Bombyx mori: one gene and its partner. The protein of the gene in region 1 purifies or fractionates together with the protein of each later gene. This does not show direct contact. Links are inferred from orthologs where the notes say so. Each region holds a gene or a part of one and is shown on either strand. Other genes may lie near its edges.

Evidence for each region.
Region 2: the proteins of mediator of RNA polymerase II transcription subunit 4 (region 1) and rho guanine nucleotide exchange factor 7 purify together in Homo sapiens (affinity purification with mass spectrometry; 3 studies listed by BioGRID and IntAct, with this or other methods). This does not show direct contact. The link is inferred for Bombyx mori from reciprocal best matches to the Homo sapiens genes MED4 and ARHGEF7.

The regions. Positions count from the first base shown.
Region 1 is NC_085112.1:8,190,149-8,193,907, reverse strand, and holds the start of mediator of RNA polymerase II transcription subunit 4, read left to right. Parts: upstream 1-1,525; 5' UTR 1,526-1,781; coding exon 1,782-1,849; intron 1,850-1,922; coding exon 1,923-2,103; intron 2,104-2,242; coding exon 2,243-2,394; intron 2,395-2,841; coding exon 2,842-3,020; intron 3,021-3,568; coding exon 3,569-3,744; 3' UTR 3,745-3,759. UniProt on the Homo sapiens protein: Component of the Mediator complex, a coactivator involved in the regulated transcription of nearly all RNA polymerase II-dependent genes.
Region 2 is NC_085110.1:9,314,657-9,318,315, forward strand, and holds part of rho guanine nucleotide exchange factor 7, read right to left. Parts: intron 3,595-3,659; coding exon 3,373-3,594; intron 3,191-3,372; coding exon 2,978-3,190; intron 22-2,977; coding exon 1-21. UniProt on the Homo sapiens protein: Acts as a RAC1 guanine nucleotide exchange factor (GEF) and can induce membrane ruffling. Functions in cell migration, attachment and cell spreading. Promotes targeting of RAC1 to focal adhesions. May function as a positive regulator of apoptosis.

The DNA of each region.
Region 1 (3,759 bases):
GCAAGTCTGCTTTTGCATTGTAAGTTCTCCTATTGCAAGTTCGTGAAATGCAATCTAACATATTTTTTTTATTGCTTAGATGGTTGGACGAGCTTTACGCCCCACTCGGTGTTAAGTGGTTACCGGAGTCTATAGATATGTACAACGTAAATGCCACCACCCACCTTGAGACATGAGTTTGAAGGTCTCAGTTTTAACAGTATAACGTCAGCCACACCCTTCAAACCGAAGCGCATTACTGCTTCACGGTAGCAATAGGCAGGATGGTGGTACCTACCCGTGCGGACTCACAAGACATCCTAACAACACCATTCTTTAACTCCGTATTGACTGATTATCGGAAGATATAATATGAGCATCACAGCGTGTAAGTAACCATCCATTTTGATTGAATTAAGGATTCGAAGTCTCAACTGTTTTGTCTATTATCTTGCCCTTTATACCGAAACGAATAACTGGTAGGTGGCAATAATAGGAAGCTTGGTCGTAGATACGTATCTACAACCTACGCTATACCGCCAATAATTACGAATTATAAATAAACCATAACAATCAATATCACAATCTTTCAATCCTTTTTCAGTATTCGCAAGTCTAATAATTAATAGAATAATTTTTTTTGTGCAGTGTTTCAATAATTTTGATGGAATCAGATGTCCTTTATTTTGAGAATATTTTTATTACACCAATATTGTATTTCTTCTGACAAATATTCTGAACCTGTGAAATGGTTTTTTTTTATCTAAGCTTGAGAGCTATGTCAGTGTAACTTATTAAGTAGGTGAGCTCACGGGGATCTAACCTGACGACGTTGCTAACACTAACCCTAGCAAGAGCAATACTTTGCAGAATCTACCACGGGATCGGAAACGCGACCCACTGAAAAGATCCGGCGAGAAATTCAGTGGGCTTTATTTGTGGGTTATTTTACTAGCCGAGCCTTCGTCGCAAGCGATGGGTTCAACGAGAACGATGAATGATGACCAAACGATGTTCAAATTCATGAAAGTGCACAACGGGTAGAAAAATGAAACGAAATCGCTACATGTGGTTTTTCGGAGTCTTTCAATTAACGTCTCAGGAAATAAACACGATTTTACTGAGAGATCATATCATAATAACTAGACTCTACAATACTCTACATGGGTAGGTACCAGCGTACTGTGTATTTCTGCCGCCAAGTAATCATGCATTCTGATTTAAAGGGTGGAACACACTTTATAGTGTAAAATAGAAAAGTGAAGTTAAAGTTGGGGGCAGCAATCACTTTGTGATGTCTTTAAGCTCCGGTAACTACTAATAGGCCTTGAGGTCATTCACCCATCTTCATAAGAAAAAGTAAATCATCTCATCTCGTTACCAGTAGTAAATTTTATTTTATTTCTTATAACGTAAATAGGCTACGGCCTTATAAAACAAAGTTTGTAGATATAAATTATACTGAAACTCACTTTAAAACTAGAAAAACTGTAAAAGTACGAGAATAAGTTTCTCTATATCATAGAGAAAAATATTTCAAGGCTCTACTAATTATTAGTCTGTGCTTGCTGTGGAACATAGTCTATGACTTTCACGTTTGTCGTCTGCTGTATTGGAAACATCAAACAATGTTATTATTTTTACTGTAAACATTGAATGTAGTTACCACGTACATAGTAGCGTTTTTGATACAAGAAATCCCAAGAGTCGCAGCGTTGGGGGGTCGTTTGTCCAGTTCATATGATATAAGGAAATAATACATATCGTTTATATTAAAAAAAGCTGTTAAGCTATATAGAGCTATGGCGTCACATTTAAGTACTAAAGATCGCTTATTGGCACTAATAGATGATATCGAACTTATTGCTAAGTGAGTTAAAACACGATTGAACTGTGGAAAACATTACCGATCAACTTCATGTTCTAATTCTTTAAATTTTCAGGGAAATAATAGAAGTTTCCATAGCACCAAAACCACAGAAAGTGTCCGCTGCAGATCATGCTCAGTTGACGGACCTACTTCTATCAAAACATGGAGAATTGAAAAAAACATTAGACCTAGCTGACGAACAAGCAAAGATCCAACAGAAAATGAATGAACTCAAAGCTGAAGTAGATAGTAAGGTAAATACTACAAAAGAGATTTATTTTAAGTAAAAAATGGATAAAATTTTGGAGTGGACTGACTCATCCACTGCTAGTTCACAACAATTTAAGCCACAAGCGAATTATGTAATTGAAATGTTTTTGTTGTGTTACTAAGGATCAAGATATATATCACCTTCAAAGACAATTGAAAGATGCAGAACAAATTCTGGCTACATCACTGTATCAAGCTCGACAGAAACTTGCATCAATAGTGAAGTCTAGAAAGAGACCTGTACCCTCTGAGGAGTTGATCAAATTTGCACACAGGTTAGTAAACAATTAAAGATTTCTACATTGAAATTAAATATTTTTTCTGAGTCAGGTCCTTAAAACACATGATGAGTACTCCTAAATATTGAATATTAAATATTTATGATCTCAACAGAGATTTCAAACCTGACCAATGACAACAGTGAGACAATGATAGTAGGCACATTGACTAACAAATAAATCAATGAGATGTTTAGTATATTAACAGTTGATTAAGTTTATTAATGCAAAAAGTCTGAATGGATATTAGGTATTGTGTCTGAATAGCCAACAATGTTATGAAAATAACTATCTACAGAAAACAGTTTCTTTCATAACTATAGAGTTACACTTTAATTAAATTACATTAAAAAGAATTTTTAAATATTAGACAGTACACTATTTTTGATGTGAGAACTAAATAGTACTTAAAAAAACTTTTTTTGACTTACTGATATTTTACAGAATAAGTGCATCTAATGCTGTCAGCGCACCTTTGTCGTGGCAACCTGGTGATCCTCGTCGGCCTTATCCAACTGATTTAGAAATGAGATTAGGAATGCTCGGTCGCCTCTGTGATCTGCCATTGAATGGTCACACGCCTTCTACACTGAATGAACTTCATCGTATAACAACTGGTGGAGGTATAAATGCATTACTCATTATATTAATGAATCATTCTTAGAACAAGTTGCATATGTATAGAACTCTTTGTGCAGTACATATTTATACAATTCTAGTATTGGTACTTTATCGTTATAGTTAATTTGATTCATCTACAATAAGCATGTATTATCATAGTTATTAATAGCTATGAGAGAAGTGGGTGATAGGGAACACCAAACACCTAAACTACTCAGCAAGTGCTTTGGCAGATATATCATGTTTTGGACCACTGTATTAAACTCAAATATACAAGAATAATATTTTTCAGGAAAGTTGAATTAATGATCAAATTTCTATAGGATTTGTAAAGAATAAAAAAAATCTCCTATGTTATTGCCACCTCTTTTTATTAATATTGTCAACAGAGGCTTCCTTCAAAACCCATAACCCATGGAAATTATTTAAGAATATTCTTATCATCAGAATTTTACAGAAACATTTTACCCTTTTGTTAATTGCATTAGGTAAAAAAAACATGTAAAACCATTTGCTTGTTAATCAGGTTTACTGTGTTATATTATTTCAGTACCAGCTTCAGCTTCAAGCCAATTCACTTGGCATCCATCAGGCGAGCTACACATGTCTGTTGGAGGCGGTAACTCTGTAGCTATTGATGGCCGAGGGAAGGATGCTCCCAACCAAGAAGATGTTGAAGTTATGTCCACAGACTCCAGTTCAAGTTCAAGTAGTGATTCACAATGAATACAGAAAAACCGT
Region 2 (3,659 bases), on another chromosome or scaffold:
ATTATTCTCGCTCGTGGCCATCTGTAAAGAAAATTACTGTCATTACATTCTTAGTCGAGTATATTGTATTGAGCGGCAGAATATTCAGACATTAAACATCCAGTATCGTTTTTGTCCGTTTCTGTATTTTTATCTCGTAAACAAACACAGAATTGAAATTTGAACAGCATTTGAATAACAATGTATTAACATCAAAATTTTTTTTAGATTTAAGACATTTAAAATAAGTGAAAAAATCAAATTTGATTTATATCTCTTTGGTTTTTATCTCCAATTCATGGGAAGTACAAGGTATGCAAGCCTTTCCATGCATCACGTATCGGATTTTGTTGTTAGTACAATTAAACATATGATATCTACTTGCAGTGATCTCTTTTTAGTTAGTAATATGAATAAACACAGGCAAGGATGATCAAGTAAAGCACTCCATCGATGGGGTAACTCTAATAACAGCATTAATCTAATGGTTGCAAACTTCAAGGCAATATTATCTTCAAACCAGTGATACACAAACAGTATCTCTTTACAAAAGAATAATCCTTGCCTGAGTCGGTGACCACGGTTATCGGTAATTTTGCCTTCATCCACCAGTGAGCGTACAAATCTGAACGATACACCACGAAACCGCTCTGCCCTTCAGCTAAGCCCTTCTGCAATTTCGACAGATCTTCGCTGCGAGACCTTGTTTTTCGCACTTGTTCGAAATCGGCATTGCTATCTTGTTTCTTATCGTTGCAAAATATGTCGCGATTCCGCGGTGTGTTGACACGCGATTTTCTATCGTTAACGTTTTCCGAAGTATCTTTGTATATACGCATGTGATAGTGAAGACTAGGCTTAGAACGCTCGGTAATATTCAAGGTACCCCATTGGCAAGGTAAGTGTTGCCGAACATTCTTAGGGACCTCCAAATGAGTGCTAGGCTTTCGGTATACTCTCGGCGGCGGCTCCGGTTTCAGTTTAATCTCTGGTACATAACGTTCAATGTTCCTCCTTATAGACGTTCTTTTGATTTGTGAAGTCGGTACGGGAGGTGTGGCGGCAAACGTTGACTTTAGATGGGTATTCGATGTATCAGTTACGTCTAAGCTGTTCTCCGAAGTCACACTCGTAACGCAAGAGGTTCTAGCCGTGGAACCGAACGGAGATGTACACCGACATTGATCTTCAAAAGTAGCGGCCTCTATATCTGACAGTGTCAGTTTCCTTCGGAGACCTCTTGTGTCACGAGCCTCTTCTGGTGTTCTCATGTTATTCCGATCAGGTATCTTTTCGTTATGATCGGAATCATTTCCTGTATTGCCTGAGCTGGCATAATCGTGCATGTCTGGTGATGTTAGGGTGCAACTACCCACAACACCTGAATCTGAGGATCTTGGACTAGGACACAAGGATCTATTACAGCACTCACACTTCTTGTGGATTTTATCATTATCTGATTGTGAACTCATTCTCTGTACCCGATTTCCGTCATCTTTATTACTGTTACTTTCTGTCTCCACCATAGATCTTGACATAGAACGTCGGATTTTTTTATCAGAATTTAGCGAATGTTTCCGAAATGGAACATTTGTGTTCAGATTTACGTTAATAACTTTCATATCATCTTCATTTCGAAACATTGGAGGAGGATCTATTATGAGGGAATCAATGTCATGGCTGCATCGCTTTGGTGAGGGCGGATCTAAAACTTGTAATAAGTTGGATGTTAAGGATCCACCGCTGTCTCTAGTAGTGTAGTTCTCTTCTGTCGATTTCCATTGTTTTGGCAACGTGTCGACCTTTACGCTGCAGTTGGGATAGCTTCGCCTTGTTGGTAAAAAATCTTTGTCATCGTTTCCTAGCGTCTCTATTTGTGTATTTTGATCCATATTCACTAAATCTTCACAAGCCATGTAAGGTCGAGCTTCGAAGCTTGAATTTTCAATTCTTTCGGAATGTGGTTCATATTCTTGTAAATCAGGAAACCCTCCAAATACATTTTGTGCATTAACTATATCATAATCCAGGTTTCGATCACTTTCACTGTTTATTTCATTAAAACCATACATCGCTTGAAACAAATCTTTGGTGCAATCTCCCTTTAATGTCAAATTCGATAGATTTTGTGATTCTTCTAAATGCATATCTGAATTGTTATCGAAATACCGCACGTAGCCCATATTACTACCCCAACTACTGTACGAAGAGGAGATTGTTCTGGGACTGTCCATAGCATCCTGCCTCAGTACCTTCAAACAGCCTGCTGCTTCGGCATCCGTACAATTCGAGCTAGTGTTGCCTTCTCTGTCGCTATCGTCGCTATCCGAATATTCTGTTTCAGTTCCGATGGTGCCGTCGTTTTCAATTTTTAGCCTAATTTGATTTTTGTGTCTCCTCCTAATAGGCAAGCCTGACAATTCGAACGCTTTCGCCCATGTTCTTTCGTGCAATAGTTTACGCAACATTTGTTTTGTTATAACTTTTTTCTTAACAAGTCTCGCAAAATATTTCGTTAATGAATAATATGGAGATGCAGAAGGGTAGCTGGGAGGTGGTAGCGTCACGTGATAAAGACTTCGGCGGCTAGAGTTGATACTAGACAACGCTCCTTCAGAAGGAGAGCGGGTCAGCTAGTAACAATATCACAAAATAAGTATATATCTTTTTCAAGAGGAAAGGTAATGTACTATAATTGTTTTTTAATGTCTATTATCTTACGATTAAATTAAAAATACAAAATCAACATCAATAGTGAAATTAACGCGTCGACGGTGCAGCAACCCTGACAGCTGTATCACGGGGTCTGCTTTCGATTCTCGGGTATAGTAAATTTCTTTGTCGAAAATATTTAAATTTTGAGTCTGACTGTACTTATGTACGTCTCGGAAACATGGTTTCGGCACACATAGTAAAGAAAATGGAAGTGGTGCCATTGCATGTGTTTAAAAAAATTACTCTAATATAGTATTATGGAAAATGTGGAATTGTAACTTACATGAGGTAATGACTGCGGTTGTCCAGGCTCGTGTGTTGGACTGTTCGTGTTAGAATGCTTTTGTAACAAACTGACCCAATTGTCAGCCTCAGCTTTTGTTTGGCACACTGCCACTATAGTGTCTATCATGGGACCACTAATTTCAAATGCATTTTTTCTTGTTTCAGTATCATCTAATTTACACACTGTGATGCCTGTCAGTGGAAGACATCCCTAAAAAAGTTTACATTTCACGTCAATTTAATAATTTCTTTATTTGTAAGCAGCAGAAAACATAACAGGCATCAGAAAACACTCTTCTCTTTCAAATCTTTTAAATTAGACCATCCGGTTGTCATAATTAAAATGATTTACGACTTTGAACTCTGTAGTTAAAGCTATTAACTAAATATTACCTCATACACAAATGCAGATACTCTTTTGCTAACTGAAAGTAATAACAGCGCTGATGGGAAGAGTACAAGGTAGCGGTCCTGATGGGACGGGCCCACTGCCACGCTGCCCATATGTAACACGTCACCCAATGAGGCTAGTTCACCCCCGGGCCAGCCACGAACTTCTCCGGTTATAACTTGTAATTCTAACTCCTTTTGACGTCGCAATGCCGCACAAGCACTCTGAATCATAGGAAAAAAATAGAATAATCCAGCTGTATTAGGTAATTTGCATGTACAATGGTTTG